Linked DNA regions of Danio rerio. The protein of the gene in region 3 purifies or fractionates together with the protein of the main gene of each other region. This does not show direct contact. Links are inferred from orthologs where the notes say so. Each region holds a gene or a part of one and is shown on either strand. Other genes may lie near its edges.

The links.
Region 1: the proteins of ncbp3 (region 3) and thoc5 purify together in Homo sapiens (co-immunoprecipitation; 3 studies listed by BioGRID and IntAct, with this or other methods). This does not show direct contact. The link is inferred for Danio rerio from reciprocal best matches to the Homo sapiens genes NCBP3 and THOC5.
Region 2: the proteins of ncbp3 (region 3) and thoc2 purify together in Homo sapiens (co-immunoprecipitation; 3 studies listed by BioGRID and IntAct, with this or other methods). This does not show direct contact. The link is inferred for Danio rerio from reciprocal best matches to the Homo sapiens genes NCBP3 and THOC2.

The regions. Positions count from the first base shown.
Region 1 is NC_133200.1:4,395,275-4,399,888, reverse strand, and holds part of thoc5 (THO complex subunit 5 homolog), read right to left. Parts: intron 3,369-4,614; coding exon 3,260-3,368; intron 3,180-3,259; coding exon 3,078-3,179; intron 1,882-3,077; coding exon 1,785-1,881; intron 1,607-1,784; coding exon 1,495-1,606; intron 1-1,494. UniProt on the Homo sapiens protein: Component of the THO subcomplex of the TREX complex which is thought to couple mRNA transcription, processing and nuclear export, and which specifically associates with spliced mRNA and not with unspliced pre-mRNA.
Region 2 is NC_133189.1:13,018,061-13,022,674, reverse strand, and holds part of thoc2 (THO complex subunit 2), read right to left. Parts: intron 3,857-4,614; coding exon 3,715-3,856; intron 3,629-3,714; coding exon 3,471-3,628; intron 1,887-3,470; coding exon 1,758-1,886; intron 75-1,757; coding exon 1-74. UniProt on the Homo sapiens protein: Component of the THO subcomplex of the TREX complex which is thought to couple mRNA transcription, processing and nuclear export, and which specifically associates with spliced mRNA and not with unspliced pre-mRNA.
Region 3 is NC_133196.1:33,673,424-33,678,836, forward strand, and holds the start of ncbp3 (nuclear cap-binding protein subunit 3), read right to left. Parts: upstream 3,216-5,413; 5' UTR 3,139-3,215; intron 2,923-3,138; 5' UTR 2,848-2,922; coding exon 2,758-2,847; intron 2,680-2,757; coding exon 2,574-2,679; intron 7-2,573; coding exon 1-6. UniProt on the Homo sapiens protein: Associates with NCBP1/CBP80 to form an alternative cap-binding complex (CBC) which plays a key role in mRNA export. NCBP3 serves as adapter protein linking the capped RNAs (m7GpppG-capped RNA) to NCBP1/CBP80.

The DNA.
Region 1 (4,614 bases), on a different chromosome or scaffold from region 3:
GTTACATTTATATAGCACTTTTCTGGGCACTCAAAGCGCTTTACACAATGGGGGGGGAATCTCCTCATCCACCACCAGTGTGCAGCATCCACCTGGATGACGAGGCGGCAGCCATATTGCGCCAGACCGCACACCACACACCAGCTGATTGGTGGAGAGGAGACAGAGTGATGATATGCCAATCATGATATGGGGAGGGTTAGGAGGCCATGATGGACAGAGGCCAGTGGGCAGATTTGGCCAGGATGGCGGGGTTAAACCCCTACTCTTTTTCGAAGGACATCCTGGGATTTTTAACGACCACAGAGAGTCGGGACCTCGGTTTAACGTCTCATCTGAAAGACGGCGCTCACTGAGCAGTAAAGAGTCCCCGTCACTATACTGGGGCATTAGGACCCACACAGACCGCAGGTTGGGCGCCCCCTGCTGGCCTCACTAACACCACTTCCGGCAGCAACCTAGCTTTCCCAAGTGGTCTCCCATCCAGGTACTGACCGGGCGCAGCCCTGCTTAGCTTCAGTGGGTGACCATGTGAGAGTTGCAGAGAGCTAGCTGTGTTATTATTAAATAACACATTTTTCTTCATTTACTTTTAATTATATGTTATTATTAATAATTAATAATATTCATCTATGTGAAGACATTGATCATGTTAATGATTTCTCACAGTAGTTGTCAAAAATGATTTAACAAGTCAGATAATTATCAATATGGAACACTTCATTTGTCTGAAATTGTTTTTTTATTATATAACTTAAAGTAATTTTCAAATTTAAACCAATGCAAGTGTGATTTAAAAATAATACCTATAAAAATATTCGATGCATCTTACTCATGTGTGGTGCTATGGTGAGCTATATTTAGAACAGGCAACTCATGTGAACCTGGCGGGCTACCTTGTGCCCAAGGGCACCAATGTTGGTGACCCCTGATTTAGAACGAAAGTCACACTTCAGAAGTGATTCATTGATTTAATTCATTTAGAAATAAAGCAAGTGACCATTTAGGTAAATGAATAATTGATGTGATTTGTACTAAAATAAACTCATTCAAACAGAAAACAGCACATTGATTCTGCAAGGAATTGAGCTCGTTTTATAATAAAATAGCAGTATAATAAAATGCTACTTTTTTTTTTTTACTAATGATACACAAACAAAGAACGAATCTGCTATTGATTTTAGGAAACAAAGGCTGATCAAAATGTTTTTCGAGTTGCACTCGCATTGTGTCCAAATGAATCAGTCGTTTTGAATGAACCACTTGCATGAATGATCCAAGAAGTCACTCATTCAAACAGGTGCTTGTCGCCACCTACTGGTGTTTAAGTGTCATGTTATAAAATGCATGACGAGCCAGAAATAGGCAATGTACCAACAGAGTATCTTCAAAATCCCCCACAATACGTCAAATTAAATTTGTCAATATAACAGACTCCTAATTTTTGCAGTGTAAACTCAGGACATATAAAGGAGTAAAAGTGTCTGTTTTTACCCAGTGAGCTGAACTGTTTGTGCAGGGCGAGACGAGACTGTAATCTTCCTCGCAGCAGTTTCATGCTCTTCTCCATATGACTGGCACTCAGAGCACTGCCCGACAGCTCCGACTGAAACAAACACTCATTACTTTAAAATTCTGAGCCCTGTCATGAGAAAAATACATTTTACAGACAATACTGATGGCCAGTGTTATTTTGCATTCAAGATTCAACAAAACAGATGAAAAAAAAAAATGATATAAAACAAGTCATTTAAATATTTAGAAAGCCACACACACGCACACACCTGTGCAGCATCAGATGAGAACTGCAGACCGCTCAGTTTCTGCACCCAAACATACGGATGTCCGAGGTCTGACACATAATCAGCGAATGTAGTGATTCTGCACAAAAATTAAATTTATTCTTCATTGTGAAGTCAAACTGTTATAAAACCACAAATCAGGAAAATTATATATATATAAAAATATCACTCAAATGTAATAATAATAATAATAATAATAACAACAACAACAACAACGACAATATAAAATGTATGTATATTTTTCATAATTTTTTTCCACAAACATCTAATAATAATAATAATAATAATAATAATAATAATAATAATAATAATAATGAGAATAATAAATAATATAAAAAAAAATCGCATAATAATATTACAAATTTCTATATTTTTTATTTAATGATGACAAATATCTTTATATTAACAATAACAATAATATAAAAACTCATAATATAAATATTATATATTTTTATTTAATATTTTTTTCAAACATCTAATAATAATTAATAAAACTCATATTAATCATACAAATTATATATTATTTTATTTAATACTTTTTTCACAAACATCTAATAAAAAAATAAATCTCATAATAATACAAAATTATACATATATTTTTTATATTTCTTCACAAACATCCTTTTAATCATAATGATCCAAAAAATCTCAGAATAATACAAAATTATATATTTTTATTTAAATTTTTTCAAACATCTTTATAATAATAAATAAATAACATAAAATGTCAATACAAAAATACATCTTTTTATTTTAAATAAATTTCAAACATCTAAAAATAATATATAATAATATAAAATCTCATAATATTAATACAAAAATTACATATTTTTATTTAAACAAAAATTTTACCATCTTTATAATAATAACAACATTATAAAATTCATAATAATACAAAAAAGAGAATTAATAATAAATAATAATTTTAAATATCCATTAATTAAATATCTGAAATTTTAACCATTGCATAAATGCCATATGAGAAGCGAACGCCATTTTCATTACAAAAGTCACAGCAGTACTGCAAAATAATATTTTAAATAAATAAATATTTAAAACAAATTAAAATATTTAAATAAACAGAATAAAACATCTGCTAAAAAACGACTACAGAAAGCATTTAAACTATTTTTCATACAACAAATGAGACAAAAAAAATTATATAAATGTTTTCAGTTTTACATTTGAAAACAAATCCAGAAAAAAATATAGATCCATGCTTTATGTATTTGCTTTTTTCAGCAACACTGATATCAATAAAAAGTGCAGACGTACCCGACTTTATCAAACTGGTAGCGGTTTGCAGGGTTTGGGGTCTCATTACCATGATCTGACGCATAAAGACAGTTCAGCAAACTCTCCGAGTTCAACAGCTCCCTGCGACAGACACACAAACACATTAGAAAACATCAACTACATAAATGATGTATATTTCTGACCTGCGGTGTCACACTGACCCTGCGCTGATGGCTCCAGACAGATCAACAGATGTAGAAACTTTGGTCTTCACAGTCAGAATGTTGAGATTCATGAGATAATAGAAATACAGATGCAGGACGCTGCCGTCTGAAGAAAGATATAATCAAGGTATAACATGATTAGATTAAACGACTAGAAGAAATGACTTTATATTCAGCAAGGATGCAGTAAATTAATCAAAAATGACCAGAACTTTTAACTCAAAGAAATTGTAATACAGCTTCCACATTAATCTTGTGGCCCATTTCCACTGAGTCGTACAGTACGGTATGATACGTGTCAGTATGGGTCACCTTTATCAGACTTGTGTTTCCACTGCTAAAAGGGTACCAATGGTGGGCGTAGTGTACAACAAAGTTTCAACTTCATTCTTGCTAGAGGAAATGTCTACTGTAAAGCTGTACGAGTTGTTCACATATCATATGAGAAGCACTTCTCACAAAACAGATGCTTTACACACATAAATACTTGTGCATGAATGTTCATTACTAACCTTTCTATTAACATGATTTGATCATAACTGCAGATCAATGATGCGAAATAACCTACTGTAACGTCTGTAATTATATAAAAATAAATAAATAAATGAACATATATGAACACATACAGACCCTTACAGTCTCCAATGTTACCAACTACAGAAAAACTACACACAGCAGACATTTAGTCCTTATTTTGGGATCAAAAACAACACATATAGCCCACAGTCAGTGCAAACCCCTCATCTGCATCTTTAATCTTGACCAGCACATGTGACCTCTGTTAGAGAGTAATTCCATCATTCTGAGTTCATAATAATCCAAAAGGCGATAATAAACTTGGCAGTTTGTTCATGTTTTAGGTTGCTGAAAGAATCATTTTTTTTCTCCTTTGTTTTTTCGGCTTCTCCTTTGTTTTTTTGCACTTCACTCTCACGTTTGCCTGTTTCTGAAAGGATGGGATGTCAGAAGCACTTCAATAATCACACACACGTTATAATCATCAGCTCAAGAAGATTGTTATTTCAAATATAGACACGTGGCGAGCACAATCGAGAAAGAGCAAGTGGGAAAACAAAACCGATCACGAATTAGATAGCCTTGTAAACAAATATGGGCCACAGGGTAGATTCTGCTCTTCTTCTTGGCTTTGTGGCTGTTCATCAAGATGACGACAAGGTTTGTTTGAGCTAGGGTCGACCATGGCATGTTATTATATGTATATCTTATTACAGTGTAATGTCTCGGCTGTGTATTTAAAAATGGTGCTGCCTTTGTTTTCATTCTCCTGGCTTGTGGCGTATCTCTGTAAACCAATAGCGTTCAGTTACGTGTCTTACTCCGCCATTTGGTAT
Region 2 (4,614 bases), on a different chromosome or scaffold from region 3:
TGATCTGCTTTGTTCCCTCCGTCGAAACCACTGGCTCGGAAAATAGTCAGGAACCCTGGGTAATTACCACATTCCTAGCAAAAGAACCAATAACAAATTAAAACTAGACAAACATAATACAGTATATAATATATATATATATATATATATATATATATATATATATATATATAAAACATTAACGTATGTATTAGGGATGTAACGGTATTGTAAATACCGTCATACCGCAATATTAATTTTTTTCGATATTACCGAAGTCGCATGACTCGGTAAAACTATAGGTCTCCTGAGAAAATTTGCTCAGGCGAATGAAGCGAACGGGACGTAGCTGAAACTTCATTTCCCATCAGCCCCGGCGTGGCCATAATCCTTTGCGGTCTGTTGTCGCTACAGATCCAGTAATGCGGAAATGGAGTGTGCTGCTAGTAGCGGAGATGAAAAAAAGATGGAAATGATCGAACCTAAAGCGGGTGTTGTCGCCGCGCGCGTGCTGAATAGCGGTGCTGTCGCGCGCGTTCTGATCAGCTGTGTTGTGGCGCGCGTTCTGATCAGCTGTGTTGTGGCGCGCGTATTGTAAAGCGCCGAGGGGGGGTTGAGCGCGCATATTCAAGAGAGGTGTTGTCGCGCGCCTACTGAAGGGCTGGACTGGACGGAGGGTGTGTCGCGTCGCGGGGGCACTTTTGATCGTTTTGGAAGGGCATTTTCTATCCAAGACTAAAAAGGGCATGTGCACTGCACAGGTTGAGCCCTATGTGTGCACGTGCCTGCAAGTTGGGGAATACGACTAATAACAGTCATGGGGACTGCAGAAACACAGCACACTGTTCAGATTGATGCAGACATTGACTTGTACTGCAAAGAGACCTCTATCTCACTCATGATTTGTCTTCTCAAGTGGGGGAAAGACAATGCACAATGTTACCCCACTGCTGTCAACCTGGGCCAAGTCATATCTCTCTTGTTCCAGAAACCTCAGTCCCAAATGAGAGGGGTTTTTTTCTGTTGCAGGGGACATTGTAAATGCCCAGAGATACCAGCTTTTACCAGATTATAATTATATGATAATTTTCCTTTAAACCCATCTCTATCTAAGTGAGTGAGTGATTAAATGTTGAATGTGATGAGTTTTCAACAATACTAAATTGAAACTTTATTTTTTTACATGGTTTAATATTTTTTTGTTATTAAAATTGAAGTTAGTGTTTCAAAGCTTACAGATAGATGGCTAATTTGTATGTCATTGACACTTTTGGCACTTTTTTTGGAGTATTTTCAAAAGTTTTTTTTTTCCTGTAAATGATTCAATAAATACCGTACCGTGACATTCATACCGAGGTATTACCGAACCGTGAAATTCTGATACCGTTACATCCCTAGTATGTATGTATGTATGTATGTATTTTTTTTATGAATTTATATATATTTTTATTTATAACAAATTTACCAGTAAGGACCTATTTACACATACAGACCTTTCCGGAAAATTGCTGGTAATTTTCCAGAAAGGTCTGTATGTGTGAAAGGGGCTCATTTCTACACGTTTCTTAAAATCAGAATAATTTATTGTTACCAAGTTTCATTTTAAAAAGACAAAATCATTTTGTTATTTAATAAGTAATTACTGCAAATTATTTTTGATTTCGTCATTTTTTTGTTTGCAAACATCTAAAAATTCACAGTTCACAGCTACTACTAGGACAGTGTAGAGACAGCATTAACAGTTTAAACGAATCATCAATCATAAAGGCACACCATACCTTCTCATAAATGGCTCTGTCACTGTGCCATCGAGTGACAGTCTCTAACATGCAACACAAAAAACGACCATATCGGCGGGACTCATTCTCTGTGCAACTCGCTACCGTATAGATGATATCAGAGAAGACCTAGATGAATAAAGAAACAGATTTAGAGGGTTAGTAGGTTGACAATGCACACAGGGTCATGGATTTTTAATGAATATAAAATGATTATAAATACTTTGAACATTTAGATAAAAACTAAATGACAGCATCAAACTTGAATGCTAGATAATACTGTATTCTCTTTGACTGCAGTCACTGGCACAGAAACACATGGCAAGCAAGCTGTTGTTTAGCAGAATTAAGGGTGCTTTCACACCTTTGAATCGATTCAGTTGTCCCGAAACAGGGATTAAAATTGTTACATTGTTGCTCTTTGCTCTTGGTCCGGTTCGCTTTCACACTGCAAAGTTTATAAACGGACCAAAAGAACTAAAACAAGTCATGTGTGAGTAAACTTTCCTCACATAGAGTCCTGCTCAGCTGTCAGGTGTGGTAGTGATTTGGTATTGTTTGACAGGGTGCACGCGACGTGTCTGAAGAGCGAGGAAGGATAAGGTGGGAAGGGGTGAGAAGGGTGTGCAACGTATTTGAGGAACGGGAGGGAGATGCGTGATTTCCGGGACATTATCGCTCGTTTACGGGCATCCTGGAGTCTCTGTGCATTTGCGGCAGACCTCCGAAACTTCTGGGAGACTTGGGATGTCTGTTGAATGACCTCCCGCCCTACTAATAATTTTCTTCATATAGCCATATGCCTATTATAATATCCATAAAACACTGTGATATGACTGGGCACGGATCGTATCGCTTTCTCGCTACAATCGATCCACTCCAGAGTTCGTTTCAATCGAGCCAAGACCATCTCGGAGCTATTGTTTTGGCGCAGATCAGAGCGCGATTGGTGGTTTCACATATGCCAAACGAACCGCGCTAACTCTGCAAAATGAGACGGGTTCCGAAACAAAAGTCTAGGTGTGAAAGCACCCTAAGATGGCATTTTCATGAAGAGATTACACAACTGAGCATAGCTGTGATCGTCATGCACATCTTGTCAGGGAATCACAGTTGTGTGATCAATAGTAAATCTACCAAGGTCAGAGGGCACTTCAGCATGAACAATAATTACATAATTACAGAATAATCTAAAAGAAGCATTTATTTTAGATACTCCTCATTTGTAGTAATTTCACATGCAAAATTTACTACACAGCCCTAATTCATTGAGAAACAATACAGACACCTCTCATTATCTCGGTGTCCTTACTGTCCAACTAAATCAGTTTTGACTTTGTAGCTTGTCCATTTGGTTTATTTATTGCCACATCAGCAACTTATTGCCATTGGATGGCATAATCAATAGACATTAAACATTAAACAATTGACATTTTCATGTCAATATATGATAAATAACTAAAAATTCTCCCTGGGTATATATTTTAAATTTGTTGGTTTATGAAGTATGATTTTGAGAAGTAAATGCTATTCTGAAAGCATGTGCTGGAGGTTTACTACAAGCAGCTTTATAAACAAAATGCACATGAAAATCCACTCCAATTAATTGCCCAGGAAAGCCCAGACCAAACACACACACACAAACAAATATATATTTTATAGCCTGTTTGTTGAAAGTGCCTTTAATGGTCTGTCATACAACAGTAGACTCACTCTGTCATAGCAAAGTAGGGTGCAGAAGTTGGGCGTTTTCTGCTGGTGAACCAGCTCCACAAAGCGAGCGCAGTAAACAGCATCAATGGCTGAGAAGACACAACGGGGGAAGATGCAGAGCTGAAGGAACTTAGTGATGGTTTCATTCTTAGTGGATTCTGAGGAGGGAAAAAAAGGCATGAGTCCAAAAAAAAAAAAAAAAAAAAAAAAACCTGAGCACAAAAGAGATTATTCAAACACTCACTGGCGAGTAACCAATTGTCTTTCTCCAGTTTGAGACGATGCAGAACTCTCTGCACATGCTCCAACTGTTTCTTCTCCTCTTCTTGTAGCTTGTCCTGCAGAGCTGTACAGCGTTCCTTCTCCTTTTTCTTTTTATTTGGAGGCTACAATGTAGAGAACAGTTTTATGAGAAATATCTGATGGAAGAAAGACCCAAAGATTCAGCAGTGTCTCTAGCTATGTTATGGTGTTAGAAATATACAAGAAATTGAAAATATCTAAAAAAAAATTAAAAATAAAAAACAATGAGCTGAAAAATCAATCTGGAGAGTTTGATCGGCAGTTTCCACAACTGCCAATACAGAAGAGCTGATCAGATGACACAAAATGCATGAGACATTTTTTTTCATAATGCAAGCATGGCAGTTCTACAAGGTCTGTGAAATATGTCTTATGTGCTTATGCAGCAGACTGTGGCTGCATCCGAAACCACCTACTACTCAGTAGGTACTGCATTTGAATTTAAACGTACTACTCGGTCGTTAGAAAAGTACGTTCTATACAGTATGAATGTGAAAGTATGAATGGAATTCGGACGTACTACATCCGCCTTTTCATCATAGTCACGCAACCTACCTGCGTAATTTGTGTCGCTTCACTCCCATTCATGAATTCTCTCGCAGGGCATCATGGGATAGCGCAGTGTGCATGGGATGCGCACTCCAGAATTTCGCCGGAAGTAGTGAGTCATCCAGGTACTTCTCGCATACTTATTTTCGAATTCTAGGAATTCGGACATACTACTCAGCTCGCATACTGATTTTGGCGTACTATATAGTATGGAAGTATGCGGTTTCGGACGCAGCCTAAGACTTGCCCCAAATGCTCACTTGTAGCCACTAGGGCTGCACAATTCTGACTT
Region 3 (5,413 bases):
GGATCACTAAAGAGAGAGAAAACACAGTCTGTAAGAGCGGGAGAGATGCGAAATCAAAATATGAACTAGGGTGATGTCATTTTTAAACAAAATCTTCCAAAAACGAGGTCCATTTATAAGATTTTATAGGTGGCACGGTGGCTCAGTGGTTAGCACTGTCCCCTAACAGCAAGAAGGTCGCTGGTTTGAGTCCCAGCTGGGCCAGTTGACATTTCTGTGTGGAGTTTGCATGTTCTCCCCGTGTTCACGTGGGTTTCCTCCGGGTGTTCTGGTTTCCCCCACAGTCCAAATACATGTGGTACAGGGGAACTAAATCAACTAAATTGTCTGTAGTGTATGAGTGTAAATGTAAGCGTGTATGGGTGTTTCCCAGTACTGGCTTGCGGCTGGAAGGGCATCCACTGTGTAAAACATATGCCGGTGTAGTTGGCAGTTCATTCTCCAGTGGTAACCTCTAAATATGAGACTAAGCCAAAGGGAAATAAATGAATGATCATGTTGTTTTAAACTAACCTACTGTCTTGCATTAACCGTGGAATTCAAAAGTAGATGTTTTAAAGAATGATCACACTGCTCCTTTCCATTTTACAGAAATACAGAGTTTTGAACTATATTCTATAAGTGTGCAACAGATCACAGTAGATCCATGTATGGATCGCAACCCATTGTTCAGCATGCAGATTAGCTACAGATTAATAACTTTTTATTTAATTTAAATTTAAATATTTAACAACTGCACAGAAAATAACGGTATGTTCTGCTAATTATGCTCAGCGTAAGTCAGTGTTTATCAACCAAACTCCTAAAGGACCACCAGCATTGCATCCTTTGTCTGTTACACCATTTCAGATCCTTCAGTCTCTGCTAATAGGCCGATGATCAGAATCAGGCGTGTTTGGTTAAGGAGACATTGAAAATTTGGAGAGATGGTGGTCATCCAGGAACATGGTTAAGAAACACAGAAGTTGAAGTTTACAGGAATGGGAGAGAATATCTCAAAGCCTCTTTCCGTGCTAAAAATCTCATGTATTGGAGTATTTTTGCTATTTTGTAGAATTAAATGATGGTGGAAGAAGGGTGGTGGACACAGCTGGTACACTGTGTGAGACACTAGGTTCTAGAATCCTTTTAAGTAGGCTTTGTCTCAATAGTATCTGTCTGTGGACTGCAAGACGGGCATAACTTGTGGTAAGATAGAGGCGTAACCTGCAGTTATCGAGATTCCATTGAACCATGCGAGATGTCACAATGAGATGTTGTTGGCAAGATGGTGGAAATATTTACCAGAGAACATTTACACCAAATGTTTTCATAAGTTTTCTTCAAATTCTCTTGATATATTATTATATTCATTCATTTAGTAACTCCACCAGGCAACTTTTTTTCAAATATGAAAGCCTCTTTAACTCGTGACTGTACGTAAATAACTGTGATGGTTGGATTTAGGGTTGTGGAAGGTGTAGATGGATAGGAATAGACGTTTATTACAATGATGGTTGGGGAAGTTGTAGACGTTAATAACTATGATGGTTGGGTTTAGGGAAGGAGTAGTCGTTATTAACGATAATGGTTGGGCAAGGTGTAAAAGTTAAGAGCTATGATGGTTGCGCTTAGGTTTGGGGAAGATGTAGATGTTAATAATGATGATGGTTAGGGAAGGTGTAGATGTTAATAATGATGATGGTTGGGTTTAGATTTGGGGAACGTTGATGGTTGGGCAAGGTGTAAACGTTAAGAGCTATGATGGTTGGGTTTAGGTTTGGGGAAGATGTAGATGTTAATAATGATGATGGTTGGGTCTAGATTTGGGGAAGGAATAGACATTTATAACGATGATGGTTGGGGAAAGTCCAGACGTTAAGAACTATGATGGTTGGGTTTAGGTTTGGGAAAGAAGTATATGTTAATAACTATGATGGTTGGGTTTAGATTTGGGTAAGGAACAGATGTTAATAATGATGATGGTTGGGGAAGGTGTAGACGTTAGTAACTTTGATGGTTGGGTTTAGGTTTGGGGAAGATGGAGACGTTAATAATGATGATGGATGGGAAAGGTATATACGTTAATAATTATGGTGGTTTGGTTCAGGTTTGGGGAAGGAGTAGACGTTTATAACGATGATGGTTGGGGAAGGTATAGACGTTAAGAACTATGATGAATGGGGAAGGTGTATGCGTTAATAATTATGATGGTTTGGTTCAGGTTTGGGGAAGGAGTAGATGTTAATAACTATGATGGTTGGGTTTAGGTTTGGGGAAGGAGTAGACATTAATAACGATGATGGTTGGCTTTGGGCATGAAGTAGGTGTAAAATGTTAATAACTGATGTACAGCACCATCTTGCCAACAACACAGTTTTGATGTGGGTCTCCATAACTTCAAGTGACGCCCTATCATGTGACACCCCTGTCTTGCAGTCTGTAGACAGAACCTACTCCTATGTCTTACTATATCCTATACATATGCTAATAAGAGCTAAAACACAAGTTCAGACATTCAGAAAACAGATATAGTTTTCACTTCATGTTGAGTGTAAATCCTGTGTTGATCTACAGCTGTGTAGAATTCTCACTTTTCTTCAACAAATCCCGCTCCAGAACCACATCCTTCTGTGTCAGATTTTCCTCTGCACGAAAATGAAATCTTCTTGCTCGCTTCTCCTTCTTCTCAATGGCCTCCTGTGCACATGTAAACATGGTGAACAACAGATCCATCAATAGACATCCTGATAATTCACACAGACAGCTGACACTTACTTTAGACGTGACATCAATGCCAGTGATGAAGGTGCCAGCCTTATTTTCATATCGCCGGCTGGTGTCCTGTGGAACCATACATAATCTCATTGAGATCCATGAGGGCAGCAAATACACCTAAATATTTTCAGTAGTCGGTCTTGGAACGTGTTACCTAAAATGCAGCTTTGTACCATGATCAACAATCACCATAATGCATCAAACAGTGCGCCAAATGAAAAGTCTGTTAGTATCAGGAAACTTGGCCCAGAGAATTTTAAACACTTTCATAAGATCTTCCGAAATAACAGACCAACTGCACACATTATACCAATGTTGCAGAACTAATTACAAACGCATTGTTCAAAAGCAGAATGTACTCTCTTGCTCTTAACTACCCACCGCATTGGCTTCAACAACCGTCGGCTTCCTGTGCTACGCGAGGTCGCGGTTTGAATGAGGCCTACGGGGTAACTCACCGGCAACAGCTCCTTTAAACTTCGGCGAACAGGTATGGACTCCAGTTCCACCTCTCCTTCCTCCACCTCCATGGGTTCCGCTTCTCGGGCATCTCGATCCGAGTCTGATTCTGAGTCGGACTCTGAGCGATCGGACGCGCTGTCGGACTTGACGGACACCCGCAGGCTGCGCACCGCCGCCATGATCGTCGAAACGAGCTAGCGGCTAACGGCTAAATCTCAAAGGGGTGAATGGAGAAGCAGAGGCTACACTGCACGACTCTCTCAAACACACACGCTCATACACACACACACACCGCCCAGATGACAGACACTGGTGGATTGAGACCCGCCCTCCAACACTAGATGCATATATGCAGCTGCGATACACTGAAAACGGATTACAGTATATGTGTGCATGTATGCGTTACCGTTAGTAGTATAACGTTATAACGTTAGATTTTAAATGATGCTAATTTATCACTCAAACTAAACTAGACTAACTAACCTCAAGTCATGCTTTACAAGTAGATTTTCTGTGTGAAAAGTTAAAAGAAATGCTTTAGGGACACTTTTAAGGCAATTATTTTAATAATTAATCAATAATAATAAATGTATTTTAAGTAAGAATTTGTCAGAATTCATATTGTCTGTGATGAACAAACAATTACACTCAAATGTAGACTATTTGGATACAATAAATGTTTTTTTCTAAATAGCATTTTGTATAATATAATAAATTAAAATTTGTGTGCTTATTAGTGTGCTAATTATAATTAATAATTATATTATTTCATCCTTTTTACCTAACCCCAGAGCTATCTATCTATCTATCTATCTATCTATCTATCTATCTATCTATCTATCTATCTATCTATCTATCTATCTATCTATCTATCTGTCTATCTGTCTGTCCGTCTGTCCGTTCAATGCAAGATTAAAATTAGATTAATTCTAAATGGTAGTATGTAACTGACTACAAATTACTTGATGAAATGTATCAGTAAAGTAATCTAGTGTATTCTAACTACATTTGGATTACTTTTGGCCAAACTTTAATCTACTTTTGGTCTGTCTGTCTGTCTATCCATCCATCCATCCATCCATCCATCCATCCATCCATCCATCCATCTATCCATCTATCCATCTATCTATCTATCTATCTATCTATCTATCTATCTATCTATCTATCTATCTATCTAAAAGTAATCTAAAAGTAATCCAAATGTACTCAGAATACACTAGATCTATCTATCTAGTGTATTCTGAGTACATTTGGATTACTTTTAGATTACTTTTGACCTAACTTTGTAGCCTAATAGCGTTGTATTACTAATGTTGTCCCCAAATTTAATGATTGGGTCATAAATTAATTTACATTTTCTATGAAATTTTATATTGTCATTTTTCAAATTATATCAAACACAAAATAAGTTTTAGAAAAAAAAAACAATAAAGGGGAAAGAGAGCAAATTATGAATGAATTGCAGTGAATGATCTGTCATTTTCAACCCATAAAAAAGTACATTTAATACGAGCTGATTAAAGTAAAACAAACTATGTGTAAAAGACAAGCATTTGGCTGCTTTCTGACTATCCATTATTCTGTTTTCACCATTGATTTAGATTTTTCGATTGATCTTATTTTCAGATATAAACTGTTCTACATAACAAAAAAGTCAGCTACATCATGGACGGCCTGAGGGTGAGTATTAAAATTAATTTTAATTTATATTAAACATCTAAATAATCCTCTGAGCCACCATACACACTTGAAACAGACTGATAAAACTGATATAATTAAATCAGGAGACCTTACAGAAGCTCCAACATAATCAACACCAAAGCAAAATACAATATATTTATTTAACAAAATCAACAGTGCCATACAGAAACCTTTACACATGTAGCAGTACAATCAGAGAGAAATAAATTAGCACAGCTCAATTTATTAAGCAATAAAACAAAGAAACCCTTTTAATACCAGAAACAAAATGGAGAATTCCCTCTAAAAGTGTCACACTTTGCACTTTTGAGCCATTTGTAACAACAAAGTTTCCTTCCATGAATGTCCTCAATAAATATATACACATAAAAGTGATCCGTGATTCTCCATTATGTACACACAGGCGTCACTCATGGAAGTACCCATTTAAAAATAAAAGATTTGTACTTTTTTTTCTACTGATATATTTCATAAATAACACTTGAGGGAACAC